2 linked regions of the Caenorhabditis elegans genome follow. The protein of the gene in region 1 interacts with the protein of each later gene in a pairwise test. Each region holds a gene or a part of one and is shown on either strand. Other genes may lie near its edges.

Region 1 (9,777 bases):
AATACATTTGTCGTGTCGAGACCGGCGACCGTATTTTTGGTATATGGTATTCGTATTTGCATGCTACGAGTTTTTAAAAGACAACTTATAACCATTCCTGTTCCTAGGTTTTAACTGTTCATAATCAGCTCGTAGTTTTAGTTTAATTTCTCTAGTCGTGTTTAATGAAATACATTGCTCTCTGTAAATTTCTGGAATGTACAAGAAACCTCAGAAAAAAAATTTAAAATCAATAATTTATATCTATAACATTTGAGGGAGCAGAATGTGATGGAGTGGGTGGTTGTATTTTCATGAAAATTACATAAAAAGGAAGCATATAGATGGGTAATTATGCAAGGAGGTAGAATCAGTGTCCCAAGAAAGAGTAAAATCAACAAGAAGAAATTAATAGAAACCGATCAGTTGGAAAATTGAGTGAAAATGTTTTCTTTTGAAGAAATCATGTTCTACTCTTATAATTAATACCCAGGCTATGATTTACAGAAAAAGGAGATGTTACAAGAATCATTCAATGTAACATGAGTGATGAAAAGCGGTTAAAACTGGAACAATTCAAAACTGAAGGCCTTTTGAGGGAGAGGCGGAGGACACAATGAAATATCACAGAAAATACACGAAAGGGGGAGAAAATGGTTTACCCTAGGGAGAAAATGGTTTACCTATTGATCGTAGAAAAACAATTTTTTGCGTGGCAATTATACTGCATTCCCTGATAACATACGATTAACGTTTGAAAAAATTGTATATAAAAATTATCTAATTCACTGGACTTATTAAAGGGGTGCAATATCAAGGGAATGGGAGAAAATACTCGTGTTTTTGAAGAGAATGGAGCGAGATAAAAATATGAGGGACATTGGGAGAAACTACATTTTTTCTTTACTTTCGTATTGATGCAGCTTCTGCTGAAGATCACGATTTGATGCTTCCAATTGGTGAACTTGCTCTGAAAATTATGATAATTAAATTATGGAAATTTTAATCTATATTTATTACTTACTTTTAAGGGATTTGTTCTCCTCACTAAAACAGTGCAATCGACCCTCAAGGGCATCAATGTACTCCTTTCTTTTTCGGCGAGATTCTTGTGCAGAAAGCTGAAATTTGAAATTTTTAAGATTATATATAAATATTAAAAGTTTGAAAAGTTTGAAACTGTTTATTTTATTACGGGAACACTAAATCATGGGAATGCGTATTGCGCGAGGTATTTGACTCGCAAAATATCTCGTAGTGAAAACTACAGTAACTTTTTAAATGACTACTGTAGCGCTGGTGTCGATTTACGAAAAACATTTATCAATCAATAAAATTTTTTAACACAGAAAAATAAAATTGAATATCGCTGTCACAATTCGAAAATAAATTCGTTTCGAAAATTGAGTCCGTAAATTGAAACCAGCGCTACAGTAGCTATTTAAAAAGTTACTGTAGTTTTCACTACGAGATATTTTGCATGTCAAATTGCTTTTTTTTAGAAAATTTTAAAAACTCACCTTGTTCTTGATTTTACGACGAACAATCTTCAAGGATTCCTCTTCACTTTTTGTCAGTGGGTATTTCTGTGGAATTGAATAGCCTTCTTGAACAAGAGTTCGTCGCTCTTCTGCTGACAACACCAAGTCTCCATTGGCAGTTATATTCTGAAATGTTTCATTATTACTTTTAGAAAAATTATAGATCAGAGTTAAAAATTTAAAAAAAAAGTTTACTTACCTGATCAGTGATTAGATGTTGTCGAATAGCCATTTCGTGCATCTTGTTTCTCGCTTTCAACTGCTGCTGAGCGGCCGCCAAACCCATGCCACCTGAAGAAAAATAGCATTTTTTTTTATTTAAAAAAATCAATTCTAAATACAAAATGTGTTTTCGATGTTTAATAAATACAGTAAACAAACGCACAAAATCACACAGTTTTATGTGAACTTTTGTTTTTTCTTGCAGTTTTTTTTTGACTTTCACATTGGTTCGAGCTAGTTTTTTGAAACATATATTCACGTACGCAATAAGAGGTCATCAACATCCATCACTTCTTGACTTCCTTCTGATCCGTCCAATCCGTCAGCTGAGGCTGCCGCTAAAAACATTTCACTATGAATTGTCATGTCGTGTTCTTCTTCGTCAGGACTCGAATCGTGTGAATTCGTTCCAGCACGAGAGTTCAGAAGGGCTGACAGGTCCATTTCGATTCCATGATCTTCGAGTTGCTCCTCTTTGATTTCGTCTTTGATAAAGACGTTGGCGGTACAACGTGTCGCCATCGTCTTTTTTGGGTTTTCTACAGTAACACGAATTTCAGTATGTTCAGAAAATTAGATAGAAACAAGGTAGGATGCTAAGATGATCAATAAGAAAACGACAGAAGGGACGAAACAGGTGCTGGAGGTGCCAGACACCACAAATGAACTGGAATGACAGGAGAAAAGGTGTGAAAGAGAGTGAGAAAGAGACTTGGAACTCAAAAAAGTACTCAACTTGTCCGGAACCTACATTTACCACTAAAAATGTATGATTCCCACAACGAAATACATCCTGAGCCGTATCAAAACAATTGTTTATTCAACTTTCAGAAATCGTGTTGTATGTGTCAAAAAGTAGATTTATGGAAAATAGGCACTGGTCGGACTGTAAAGAATCCACTCATTATGATGAATATTATGACATGACGTGGCAAATAAGAATACGAACTAAAAAGGCCCCAAGGGTAAATGAATCTAGAGGACATAGGGGGCAAGAAGAGGAGAGAAGAGGGTTTTCGATCGACGACCCTCAGCGAAATAGTGTCAAAGACAAAGAAACGCAGAGTTCGCAACGTGGCAGATGAGGGGACCGACCGATTAGAGGCATAGAGATGGGCTTTGGACACGCGATAACCTCGGAGACGCCGACACGTCACGCGTAGTGAAAATGGAAAAGGAAGAGACCCCGAGAGCGGTCTCTTTCCGTATATACACACTTTGCCACGTCAGAGAAGTCAGAGTATAGAAAAGAGACGGACGTGTCTCTCTTTCTTGCTTTCACATTCTCTCGTGGCTATTTCCCTATTTTTTCCCCCGTTGGCCATTAGGGTACCCAATGGCTCTGGGAAACGACGCGGCGACGGAAGCCGTTGGTCACGGACTGGTAAAAATAGGAGCTCATGTAGAAACTCGATGACGTTCACAAAAAAATCGGAACGAAAACGGGTAGAACAATTTTTTGTCACATCTCATCTGCCACGTCATAATATTTACTCTTTCTAGGTATATTGCCAAACTTCTCTACTACCACTATTTTCCTATTGTTTGCAGAAAAATAAAGTGATGCGATAATAAAGTGGGAATTTGAGTGCCCTCGTGGGGTAAAGAATTTCTAGGTGTGATGAATAGCCACGCCACAAAAAATTATATTTTTAATCTAGATTATTAAGAGATCTATGTTCCTTAAATAGAGACAAACATTTATTTGTTGTTTTAAAAACTTATGCTGCAAAATTGAGTCTAAGAAAAACGCTAAGAAAACATGAAACTATCAACTACAGTAACCCAAACCTAGTAAAAATCAGAAAGTGGCAAACTCAAAAAATAATTGTTACAGCATCACTACCATCAACCAATGACGTGGAAAAGTGGTTGAAAAAAAAACAACAATATTGGGTCGATTTAAGGAAAAAACGACGTCGATGAAGTGGTGATGGTGATAGAAGTGGACGAGGAGAAGAGGACGAAAGGAGTCTATGACTAGGGTGTAAGCAGCAGAATGCAGTCAGGAGTGTGTCAGAGACGATGCAGATGTAAGAGAAATAGAGAATAGATAAGGGACAGACGCGTGTCACATGACGTGGCAAAACGCAAAGCATCAGCACTTCTTGAGTGAGTTTGTGTGCATGTGTGTGGCGCATGGACATCTCGTTTTCAGACTGACACACTTTCGAGATTTTCCTGCACACACACACACACATACTGACGTGGCAGACCAGCAAACTTTCTCTCGTATCTTCTTTTATTTTTGGTGTTTCACACAGTCGTAACTAAACATAGATGCAACTATGCAGAAGCGAAATGACGTGGCGTGCGAAAATGGGAACTGACACACAAGGTGCTCCTTCCGATTGGCCATGACTTGAAAAATAAAACGAAGAATGCAATGGCACGTCGTCCAAAGTCTTGCAACAAACAGTATGCTTCTCTCAGAGAGCGCAGACAATGGGCGAGTGACGTGGCACTTCTTATTTTTATTTTCCTTGCGTATCGGAGAAACGTCCACAATTCTCGTTCCGAGGCAACGGCCAAAAGACACTGCCCGAAGCATCAGTCATAAAATAAAACCAATTTTAAATTTGGCATTTAATTTTTTAAATATAAAGCTGGAAGACAATAACCCATTAGAAAAATCTTAAATTCTACAAAAAGTACATCTAATTCTATGTCATGTCACTTGACACTCATCTGGTAGGAGAACCTCAATGTTTTTGAAAATCTTATGACGTGGAATTTTCAAAAGTATAATTTAAACGAGTTTTTCACTAGTCACATTGCATGTGTTTCTCTCAAATGAATAAAAACTGCTGGCTAGAGACATAGAAAATTATGACGTGGCAAACAGGATCAAGTGTGAAGAAGGACAACTTTGACGTCATCTGATCGTGACGGGGATAATGAACTAAATAATTGGCTTATTCTAGAGACGAGGAAGTACATTAATCCAGGTTCATTGAGGTGGGGAGTTATTTTTGGGAAGTAAAATTTCAGACGATAAAAGTCTATAAAAATCTGTGCGCACGGAAAGCTTCAGCTTCAAAAATCTAGCTCGAACCTATGTGAAAGCAATTTAAGCTCAAAAATACGAATTTTAATTGAAGTTTTTGGTTTGTTTTTTGAATATTCAAATGACGTACCCATTCCTTCATAAATTGTTGAATCCTTGAAGAGGAAAGTGTGCGGGACACTTGAAGAAGCGTATTGGTGACTGGGACCGGAGAATATTTGGTTCATGTTCATTTGCAGTGAAGCCTGAAAAAAGAATTTTCAAAAATGTTTCTAAATTTAATGTATGTATGTATAAATCATTTAAATTGAAAATAAATTAATTTTATAAAATTAAATAAAATATTTTACAAATAGTTTTTTGTCAAATTTAAAATCATTTCGCTGAATCTGATCTCACCTGAGATGGATGCTGAACCACATGATGCTGAAGATGGTGACTATGGGAGAAATGAGCCACGGATGGTAAAGGAGACAGTTGTTGTTGGTGGAGCTGATGCGAAGCCATTGAGTGACTTCCGTGCATCATTCCGTAAGACGACGGGCTGCTGAAATATACTTACGAACGATTAGTCTGTCTCAATGTAGTTAAAGTAAATTATAATTTAAAATTCTGAGAGAAATTCAATTTTTGCAAAAAAAAAAAACGATTTTTCAACAAAGTTATTGTCAATTCCAAGAAGATAATTGCAAAATTTTTAATTAATTGACATAGAAAATTGATTTTTTAAAAATGAAAAAAAAAACGTATAGCCACATGCTTCCACGTGGATGGAACACCGAGAAATGGGAGGTCTTCAAATTGGGAGGTCTCTGTGACCCACTGACCTAGTTTCGAGTTTTTACGTTTTTTTTTCTTTTTTTCACGCCGATAGTTTTCAACTTTTTGCTCCAAAACTCACTGCGACGATGTGGCCGACGGACTGAACGGAGCATTGAAAAGTGAATTTCCAAAATGAACATCGAGTCCGAGAGGCTCATCCTTGAATTCGTTCGGCGATGAAAGTGACGACGATGGGCTTCCCGATGATGATCCGTGATAGTCTGAAATAATATAAATTTAAAAAAGATCAAGTATTGGAGTTTCCAGGATCTGAAATTATAAAACCTCTTGTTCCATTTTCTAATTTTTTTTTCATATTTCAAAGCAAATTCGCCACCAATATGAAAAACTTCAACCTCGCCGGGTTGGCTCCTGACTCGTTTTGTTATCAGCGAAAAAAACCTTGTCCTTTCTTTAATTTTAATGGTTTTTCTCTGTCTTGAACCCTCCTAATTAACCGTGTTCTTTTCTTTCATCTCCTATCACTCTTTGTTCCACTTTTGAAACATTTAAGAGTTGTTTTACATGCTACCTTTCACTTTTTGTGATAACTTCCTAGCTCTTACATCCAACCCTTTTTTTGATAAGTAAACAAATGTTTCGAGAAGAAAGATAGAGAGACGAAATATACTGGGTCATAAATTGTGCATTTACGTCAATGACCTGCAACACGAGACACTCTTTTCTTCATGACGATTATTCCTCTTGGTTCCGGGAAACGCCATACTTAATTGGATGACAAAGTGGCAACTGTACTACAAATTTCAGGCCAATATACGTTCAGCGACAAGGTAGGATTAGGTAATTTCTCCGAGAGACCAGTACGTCATCAGTGGAACATGTGGCAGAGGAACGACAAAAAGTTGTAGCAACTTTCCAAAGCTTATCAGTAAAACAGTGCGTGATAATTCCAATGTACGGGAATAGTCAGTAGCAAGTCACAGTTATCGTGTTTTGTGCACATGCTCTTCCAAAGGCAACTTTAAAGCATAATAAAAGTATAATCTTTAAATGATAAAGTTTCAATTTCATCATAAACACTGAAAAAGAAAGAGAGATGATTCTAAAGTGATTCGGTTAAAATGTGAACTTTTGAGCTGATGGTTCACTGATAACACTCTCAAGTCATCATTAAAAGAAAAAAATGGAAGTAAAAAAATGATGAAGGAAGTGAGAAAATTAGGAATTAAAAAATATTTTTCAATATTCTAATTATTAGGAATTTAGCTTCATGAATAAGTTGGGAAATCGGAGAGTTAAAATGTGGCCTACCTTCCCCAGTGCTACTGTGACGTGACTGATTGAAAATTCCAGATAGTGGAGGAAATAGCATAGAAGGATGAGGCTTTTCGTCAGGTGGAGTACATGGTTCCCATTTCATAGGGAAATTTGGGATCGGATGCATCATTTGGTTCATTTCACAGTTATTGTTCATTCCCATATGCATCTGTGGCATATCCATTGGCATTGGCATTGACATTGATGAACGAGATGACGAAGAGTTCATAGTTACAGTTGTTGGTGGTACAATATTTACAGTAATCTGACGGAGATGTGAGGGAAAAGTTAGAGCCAGAATAATGTGATACTGTTCTTATTCTTGTTTCTTTTTCCTCCCCACTGACAGGTGGGGCAGGCGGCAGCAACTCAACAAGGGGAGAAAGATACAAAGATGGGGGGACGCTAATTTGATAAACGAGATAGTCAGAGAGTGCATGAGAAGCCAGTAGAATAGAGCACAAGTTTCGGAGAGAAAAACTGATAACAGTTTAACACAGTGCTCCAAAGGGGAGAGCACACATGTTAGTCACTTTTGCTGAATTCTTATTTAATTATTATTCTAAAAAGTGATGCAGATTTAAGTAAACAAACATGGCGATATGAATTTCTCAATTAAAGTCACACCTTTTTGGTCACATATAATAATAACATGACACTGAAAAGGTACTTAATCGATATTTGATGGCGGTCGTAAAACGGTCGAAGAGCTGATAACGAGATGTTGTCGTTGACGATTATGGATTGAAATCATGAATATACGCTGTTGATGTTTGATATGTGACTATGATTAGCTCACGTATTCAACTGTTGTGGACTGGGAAATAAGGAATATGACATCGGAAACCTAATAAAAGGCTTCAAATGAGATGATTGTAGCCAGTCGGCTGGTAGGGATTTTATGTTCGACTCTACAAAATGGCCTGTTGCACCATGTTGTTCCAACATTCTTCATTGAACACTGTTGTCAAAGTCTAGAAAATCACTTGATTTATCTGAAAATAACATTTACTCTAGCTGAATTATCTGATAAGGCACACAAACGGCCTGAAAGTTGCCGATTGTCAAAAAAACAAAGCTAGATTTTTTAGCTGAAAATAATGTTATTTCCAGATAAATCAAGTATTTCTTTAGATTTTGACACAATTTTTTGATTAAAAATTTTGGTCAAGTTTAGTTTCACACCATTTTGATTTTTGATGCTCATCAACGATATCACACTTTCATCAGATCACTGTCCTTTCTTCGCTCGTGCTCCTTTTTTTGCTGCCGTTTTTATTTTCCAGTGACCGATGACGTTATCACTTTATATCAACATCAGCACCAAGAGACATTGTTACGAAAAACGCTAGTACGGAGAGTGAAATTGCTGTTTTATCTCCCAGCCTTTCTTCTTCCCAAGTGCAAAGATTAATGCGTGTTTATTTGCGTTTCAGTTCCATTTTTAATTTCATTCTCTGTAAGCCTTGATTTTGAAACTTCCGAAAAACGGAACTCAACTTGACTGTAGCTTGATGTTATAAATGTTAAAAGCACTGAGTTATCAGTAATATTTCAAAATTAGTTGAAAGATAACTTTTCAAAATGTGACCATAAATCAGAAGAAAATTCTTTGAATGTTTGGAAAGGGCATATTTAAAGAAAGAGGTCTTACCAGAAGTTTCATCGTTCGGTTCCATTTTAATTCGGAAATTGTCGTCGGAGAATCCATCGATATCATTGTCGAAGAGCTTTAATATCTGAAATAAAGCTGATTTAAATTAGAAACTTGAATTTAAAAATAAAATAATTTTTGAAAACGTTGATACTCACATCAAGAGTGTCCTTCTCATCATGAACAGATGAAATAAATACATCTTTTTCGAGAACTCCACTCGTCGCCCAGTCGTCGTCCATCATCATCGCTTCCAGACTGCAAATTTCAATATATTATTGAATCGATAATCCTTTTTCGGAAAACGGACGGTGCTCATGATCACAGCTAAGCTAACGGACGGCTCATAACGTTTCGGGTGTGTCAATATCGGTGGTGCGGATTTTTCAAAGAATTTTGACCGAAAATTGTGACAAAAGGGAATTTAATTTTATAATAAATTATTTACAAGAAAAACACTTTCGAAAATATTAATTTTTCTCAAAAAATCTTAAATTTTTTACAATATCAAGCTTGTAAGCAGATTAGGAAAATAAACTTTCTTTTAAAAATTGATTTTAAGAAGCGAAAAGTATACGTGAGGACACAAAGAATAAATTTGAATGGAAAATTGGGAGCAAATCGGATAAAAACAAAATCCCGATCAAGGAAGCAACATAAAAGTAACAAAAAGTAGGAAAATTGAAAACATTGATTTTTTTCAAATTGAAATATCAAAAAATACAACAGTTTTTCTGAGTTTTTGTGTTTTAAAAGTGAGAAAATGATGATAAAATCTGTGAAGACAGTTGAAAACGAGCAAAGTTTTAGGAGACTAAAATAATGCAAATGCGCTCCAGCGGACTTGCAATTTTAAATTTGAATTAGGATTACTGTATTCGCTTCAAAACTGCCATTTAAATAAAATTCTAGGCTCGTTTTCGATGTTTAAAATTGTTATTTAAATTAAAAAAATTAATTTTAAAATTATCTGAAATTCCCTAAAGTAGCCGTGCGTATGCTTTTCAATTTGTGACAGTGCTCTTCTCGTTTTGTTTTGCAGCTAAACAAATAGGTCATGGAGGACGGCATCTTTCCGGAGAAGAGAAAAAGACAGAAAAGGGGACTGTTTGTAATATGAATACAATAGTATTGTACATACGTGTGCTCTATTCATTGATATCGAATAGAAGAAGAAGAAGAAGAACGAATGGACGAAATAAGTTCTATATGTTTTCGATATTTGGGTGATTGCACTGCGTATGAAACGTCAACTTTAACGTCGAGTATTTCAA
Region 2 (7,017 bases), on another chromosome or scaffold:
TCAGTAAAATTCAATTTATCATAGGGGGGGCACACACACACACATACACATAGAGTCTTGTCTCTTCCACAAAATCACACTTCTCTTTCTTTTTCTTTTTCTTTTTCTTTTCTCTCTCTCTCTCTCTCTCTCTCTCTCTCTCTCTCTTCTTCTTCCTCCTCCTCCATCTTCTGTCTGCACATGCACACAGCTCTTGCGCGGGGCGCGGCCCCGGCCAAGCGGCAAGCAAGAAGAAGAAGAAGATGTAGAAGAAGAAGAAGAAGATGAAGAAGAAGAAGAAGAAGAAAGACGGAAATTCTGGGGGCGCGCGGGCGAGAGTAGAGAAAGACAGGAGCACACACACACACGTCTCGAAAAAGAGCGCGCCTAGCGTCCGCAAAGGGAGAAATATCAGCCAGCTGACACATTTGTATGCATTATATGCCTTAAAATCGATAACACCGCGCGAGGCTAAAAATAGCATACACACACACGCTCTCCCAGACACTTTCAGCACAGCAGCAGCAGCAGCAGCAGCGGCTCCACCGATACGACGGGCGCCGCGAGACACATGGTGCTCCTGCTGCTTGATTTGTTTATCAACTGCCCACACTACCACCACCACCTTAACTACTACTACTACTACTACCAAGTACTCTGGAATCTTTTTCAGAGACCTGCATGGCGTCGCGAACGTTCCTCCGGATGTCGGTGATCTTCTCGCGCTTCTCGGCTTCGTTGAATCCGTTGATGTGCAGAATCCGCATCTGCTTCACAATTGTGCTCTTGCCGCTCTCTCCGGCGCCGAGAAGCAGCAGGCGATGAGTCGCTCGCATCACCTACAAAACTGGGTTTGGTGTGTGTGTGTGTATGTGTTGAGGATGGGATCTGTTACAACGCGTTTTTGTTCATCGTCCGCCGGAGGGGGGCCCCCGGGGCAGAGCGACGAACTCTTCGCCCCTCGCCGCCTGGCGGCCTCCAAAATTCGAAGCCCTCCCTCTCCCCCCTCCTTTCCACCCATCGATCAATATTTCAACGATGTGTTGCTAGAGGCTTACCGGTTTAATGGCAGATCATTTGGAAGGGAGGGAAATTATGGCGACGCGGGGGCGGGGGGAAGACGATGAACAAAAACCACAAAAACCCACCAATTCCTAAACATACCTGCTTATCCTTAGCCAACTGCTCCTCGATCTGCTTGTTGACCTTGCGTGCTTCTCGGCCTTCGGCATCAGCGCCAGCGCCGACGCACCCCATAAGGCGCATCTTGACGCGGTGGCGACGGCTCTTCTTCCGATCGGTGGTGGTTGCGCAGTGGTTTCAGCAAGTACAGTAGTAGTGAAACGTTTGAAAGGCGGTGGTGAACGGTAACGAATTAGCGGAATAGTCAACGGCGACGTGGTGAGCAGGGCAACTCACGGCGTGTGTAGGCAAAATGGAAAAGACAGAAAGAAGTGTGTGGGGGGAAGACGGAGAAGAAGAAGAAGAAGAAAAAAGAATAGAGAATTTGGAATTTGGAAGTTACTGGCCGATGTGATGGGAGAGGGTGGTTGGGGATCGAACGTTCGCAATCGGATCAGACGCACGTCGAATCGTGTTCGAGGCGCGTTGCCGTTGTCGTCGTCGCCGTCTTCGTCTTCTTCGTGTATCGGACAGCGGCCACAGACAAGTATGCAAACGACGAGAGAGAGGCGAAAGCAGCAGAGAGGGACAAACACACAAACACACTCACTCACTCACTCTCTCTCTCTCTCACAGTGTGTGTGTGTGTGTATTTTGTGAGTGCTAGTTGCCAGGCTCCTTTCCAACGGGCGGTCTCCTCAATCGAAATGCTCCCTCGCGTCGTGTCGTCTAAACTGCGTGTCGCACCAAACGCGACCGCCGGACCAACACACACGGCCGGCCGCCCCGTCGACAGCTCTTGTCCGGCACCGGCCTGCCGCCCTCCGGCTTCTTTGTGCTCTTTTCGTCGGCTTTATCGTCTGTTTCTCTTGTCGCGCCAGCGGGGCACACATACACACTTTTCGCCTCACTGGCATCCTCGATTTCTCAGGCTGTTGAGAGGGAAAGAGAGGGGGGGACTGCACACGCGTCGCGCTTCTCTCAACTCTCGTGCGTCGCGGCGGCGACGGCGGCGGCGGCGGCCCCACTGCACCCGCCAATTCAAACTCGGGTTTCAGTGCAGTGTTGGGGAGCTGCGAGCGGTAGCGACAGTGTGCGCCTTTAAAAAGTACTGTAGTTTTGAACTTTTCCATGCGCTTCTGGATTCCCTCGCATTTTTAAGTGGAAGAGTTTGCCAGACTAGGCCATTTTGTCTCGGCCACGGTTGGGGTAGATTTACGGCGCGTTGTGTGTCGCGTCGCGGCTCGGCTCGATTTTCATTGTGAAACAAAATTTATTTGTCCGTGTGGAGTACACAACTTTCCCACGCGTTGTCCGGCAGGTGATTGTCAATGGGGCGCAAAAAATTGCAATGACGAATACCAGAATCCCGTGTTTTTGCTCACGATTCATATTATTTTATTCTAGTTTTTTGAAAAATCTGAGAATTCTGGAAAAAAATTTGAAATGACAGTACTCTTTGAAGGCGCTAAATTTGATTTGTCGTGTCAAGACCAGGAAATTGCTGCCGTCAACTGAACGAATTGATTTTGTGAAAAATATTCCCATTTTGATAATAAATATATTTTTTTTTTGAAGAAAATCATATTTTGCAAACTACTGCTTATTGCGTAGAGCATGTTTTTAAAACGAAAAAAGATCAAATACCGTATCCCTCATTTAAAGGCGCATGGGCTATTCATTCTCCAGCTTTAGTTATTTCAGGTCTAGAAATAAATGCTGAAGCATCTCTTGCAACGAAATCTGAATTTTCACAGTCTTTACATATATATATATTTTTAAATAATAAATGAATATCGATATGATCACGGGTTTTCAGGTTTTTAATTGAATTTTAACTGAATTGTTGTAGATTTCTAATTATTTTGTTTTGTAAACTATGGAATCGTCTCTGAATTCGGTAAATTTGCAGGAAAAAAATCTAAATTCAAACTTCCCTCCAAAATTCGTCGCGAATCACGTCAGCGTCGGGAAACGCGTCAGCAACCACCAGCTGGCGCGCTTCTCGTTTTGCGCTTAAAAAGCGTGACTCAGTTTTCAATGATTTCACAATCATTAAAAGCGAGAAATATCGCGAAAACCTGCTTATAAACTTGATTTTTTGATGCTGATTAGCTAGAATTTTGTTAAAATATCGATTTTCTAAAGTTTAGGGCTGAAAAATTCACTTTTTGACTCCCATCTTGTTGCTCCATCGATTTTCGTAAAATTGCTGACTTTTCGTATTTCAGCGTCCACCGCTCACTTATCGCCAGGAAAAAATGTCGGTTCCGGCACTTCAGGTAGAGTTTTTAGAGTTTTTTGTTTAAAAAATTGAAAAATAAAACATTTTTTAATTTTTTAAAAATTTTTTTAATTCCAGAAGGCCATAGAATTGGTGACAAAAGCCACCGAGGAGGATACAGCCGGCAGATACGACCAAGCGCTGAGATTATACGATCAGGCCATTGAATACTTCCTTCATGCGATAAAATGTTGGTTTTTGAGCGGAATTTTCCGGGTTTTTTCCGTTTTTTCCGTTGAAAAAAATAAAAAATATGTTAATTTTCAATTATTTTTAAATTTTCAGACGAGTCACAAGGCGATAAACAGCGTAATGCGATTCGTGACAAAGTCGGGCAGTATTTGAATCGCGCCGAGCAGATCAAAACCCATCTGAAAGACGGAAAAACGCAGAAAAAGCCGGTGAAAGACGGGAAAGACGATTCCGACGAGGATGAGGACAAGAAAAAGTTTCAGGTAATCAAATTTTAATGGAAATTATCACCGAATTCAGCCCATCAGCCCAAAAATCGCAATTTTCAGGACAAACTGTCGGGCGCAATTGTGATGGAGAAGCCGAATGTCAAGTGGACCGATATTGCAGGACTTGAGGGAGCGAAAGAGGCGCTCAAGGAGGCCGTCATTCTTCCAATCAAATTTCCACAGCTTTTCACTGGTGAGAATCGTGGAATTTTGGCGAAAAATAATTTAAAAAATGCAGCTTTCCGCTGGAAAATCGATAAATTCAGTGATTTTTGCGGATTTTTGGTGAAAATTTGGGTTAATTTTCAATTTTCTCCCCAAAAAAAAAAAAACGATTTTTTAAATAAAATTCGGAAGAAATTGCAGTTTTTCAGGTTTTTGCCGATTTCCTTGCCTAAAAATCGATAAATTAGGCGGTTTTTCGGAGAAAATTCGGAAATTTCACTGGTTCCCGCAAAAAATCTCCAGTTTTAGTAAAATTTTGCAAAATTTCACCTGAAAATTTGCAAAAATCCCCCCCAGTTAACCGATTTTCCGCCAAAAAACTGCGAATTTTCCCCGGAAAATTAGCGAAAACCTCCGAAATGTCTATTTTTATAACAAAATTGAAGGAGAATGGATTTTTGAAAAAAAAACAATTATTACATATTCGGAAAAAAAACCTCCCGATGGGTCTCGCCAAGAAAAAAATGCATGCGTCTTTAATTTGGAGTTTCACGTGTCCCATTACGGTTTGATCTACAAAAAATGCGGGAATTTTTCGTCCTGAAAATGACGTGTCAGCAATATGCGAAATCAGTTGAGAACTCTGCGTCGCTTCTCTCCCGCATTTTTCGTAGATCGCCGTAGATCAAGCGGAAATGGATCTCTGGCTTCCCTCATAAACTGAAATGGAAGAGTTTTTGCCGAACTAGGCCATTTTGGCTCGGCCATATCTGGGGTAGATTTACGGCGCGTTGCGTGTCGCGTCGCGGCTCGATTTTAGCGCGAAAAATTCAACGAGGAAGGCCAGAACCCCGTGAGAAAAATTGAAAATTTTGACCTCAATTTCAGAAAAACGTACTTTTTTTTTGAAAAATCTGAAATATATATACGATTTATTTTGCAATACAACATTCGCGGAAATTTCAAAAATTGAAAAAATGACACTATACAAAAGACTATCGGGAAGTACGTGGTGTCAGGTAGTCTCATTGCGGTTTGATCTACAAAAAATGCGGGAATTTTTCGCCCAGAAAAATTGTGACGTCAGCACCACGTTCTTAACCATACGAAATCAGTTGGGAACTCTGCGTCTCTCAACTCCCGCATTTTTTGTAGATCAAAGCGAAATGGGACTTTCTCTGTCTCCATGTGGGGAAGTGGTTTGGAATGACCGGGACTTTATAAGGGAAATGGCATTATTTTTTTTGGGGAGAAAATGGGCAAGATATGGGCGTTTTTTGGCAAGCGCGGGGGAAAAGCAGATCAAATCAGCTGAGCCTGCATATTGTGCTGATGTGCGACGTGGTGATAGGCTCCGGTGCCGGTTTTGGTGTGAGTCCTCGCCGTCAGAGCCATATCCTCCTCCTTTATGATGAAAATGCTGGCTCCGTAGAGCAACGGAGCGATGATGCACGGTACGAAGGCGAACATGGTGCATCCGATGGTCCACAGTGTGTCCTGACTCATTCGGACGGGATCCGACGGGTCCAAGGCGGTTAGGATGTAGAAGGGCAGAGCGTAGAGGGGACTGGAAATATGAATATATATACATATTTTTTTTTTTTGGAATTTTTCGTTTTAACACGAGATTTGGCCTTTTTTTTATTGTGTTATTAGACTCAAAATTGCCTGAAAACGCCGAATTTCATAATGGAATTTCTTGAATACTTCTCAAAAAAAAGTTATGACAGCTCAAAAATGGCCTAAAATTAGTTAGAATTAGAAATTTGATCTACTTGTCAAGTGGCTGGAAACTATCTTTTTTTTTCAAATTTTACCGTCAAATTTTGAGTATAAAATGTAAATTCGGAACACGTTTTAATTATCTTGCGTTTTCAACTCGATTTAGGTATTTTAAAGTTGATGGACGGCGAGATTTTTAAATTTTTTAAACCAAATCTCGCCGTCCATCGACTTTAAAATACCTGGATTGAGTTGAAAACGCAAGATAATTGAAACGTGTTCCGAAATTACATTGTATACTCAAAATTTGACGGTAAAATTTGAAAAAAAAAGATAGTTTCCAGCCGCTTAACAAGTAGATCAAATTTCTAATTCTAACTAATTTTAGGCCATTTTTTGAGGCGTCATAACTATTTTGAGGAGTTTTCAAGAAGTTTCATTATGAAATTCGGTGTTTTCAGTCAATTTTGAGTCTAAGGCCTTAAAACTCACCCCAAAAGGAAGAAATACACGAGGAATCTGCTCTTGTACAAGCCCAGCGACTGGAACACAATTGGACTATGAAATAGAGTCTGTAGAATTCGAAAGTAGGCGATCGACGAGAATAAGGCCGGAATGAACACGCCGAAGATCATGGTGTACGTCAAGAATTTTAGGCCAGAGTCCGAGTGTGAGAAGACGCAAGTTCGGACCGCTGGGCCGTAGATCGCCACGTGGCCGTTGGTTAGAGACGGTAGAGAGAGGAGCCAGGAGATTATCCACGACAAGATGCATAGTTTGGTGGGTGTCAGGCCGAAAAGTTGCTCGTAGTGGATGCGGGCGAACGTTAGCAGATGAACACCGGCGATGCAGAGGTTCATCATGGCGATGACGGTCCAGACGGTGACGGTTATGGAGACCTGGAAAATGCTTCTGTTTAGTAAAACAAGCAGAAAATTGCGTGAATTGTGAAAAATTCCAATTTGAAAGCTTTTCCGGCATGGTTCTGAGATAGCTTAAAGCTTCAGGCTACTGAGCTTTATTTGAACTTGAAAAAGCTGTGTGATCTACTAAAAATTCCATTTCGCGAATTTTCCCCGATAGGAGAAGACTGCGATTGTCACACATAGTATGTCCCATCACGGTTTGATCTACAAAAAATGCGGGAATTTTTCGCCCAGAAAAATGTGACGTCAGTACGTTCTGAGAACTCTGCGTCGCTTCTTCCGCATTTTTTGTAGATCTACGTAGATCAAACCGAAATGAGACACTCTGACACCACGTGTGGCATGGTACATCAAGTCT

Evidence for each region. The genes of interacting proteins can lie anywhere in the genome.
Region 2: the proteins of crh-2 (region 1) and vps-4 interact in a two-hybrid assay, tested with the Caenorhabditis elegans proteins (one large-scale study listed by BioGRID).

The regions. Positions count from the first base shown.
Region 1 is NC_003280.10:5,178,809-5,188,585, forward strand, and holds crh-2 (CREB homolog crh-2), read right to left. Parts: upstream 7,269-9,777; 5' UTR 7,079-7,268; coding exon 6,844-7,078; intron 5,793-6,843; coding exon 5,651-5,792; intron 5,297-5,650; coding exon 5,149-5,296; intron 4,995-5,148; coding exon 4,880-4,994; intron 3,173-4,879; exon of another isoform or gene 2,966-3,172; intron 2,281-2,965; exon of another isoform or gene 2,265-2,280; coding exon of another isoform or gene 2,006-2,264; intron 1,812-2,005; coding exon 1,720-1,811; intron 1,647-1,719; coding exon 1,500-1,646; intron 1,101-1,499; coding exon 1,004-1,100; intron 950-1,003; coding exon 870-949; 3' UTR 221-869; downstream 1-220. UniProt on the Caenorhabditis elegans protein: Transcription factor. Plays a role in regulating the developmentally arrested larval state known as dauer, when induced by long-term exposure to the Gram-negative bacterium P.aeruginosa PAO1, but dispensable for dauer formation induced by starvation.
Region 2 is NC_003279.8:1,063,215-1,070,231, reverse strand, and holds the start of vps-4 (vesicle-fusing ATPase), read left to right. Parts: upstream 1-3,332; 5' UTR 3,333-3,362; coding exon 3,363-3,383; intron 3,384-3,463; coding exon 3,464-3,575; intron 3,576-3,670; coding exon 3,671-3,840; intron 3,841-3,906; coding exon 3,907-4,039; intron 4,040-4,934; exon of another isoform or gene 4,935-5,313; coding exon of another isoform or gene 5,314-5,578; intron 5,579-6,225; coding exon of another isoform or gene 6,226-6,632; intron 6,633-7,017. Other genes in the region: gsa-1 (Guanine nucleotide-binding protein G(s) subunit alpha), read right to left, coding at 657-818, 1,144-1,245; npr-23 (G-protein coupled receptors family 1 profile domain-containing protein), read right to left, coding at 5,314-5,578, 6,226-6,632.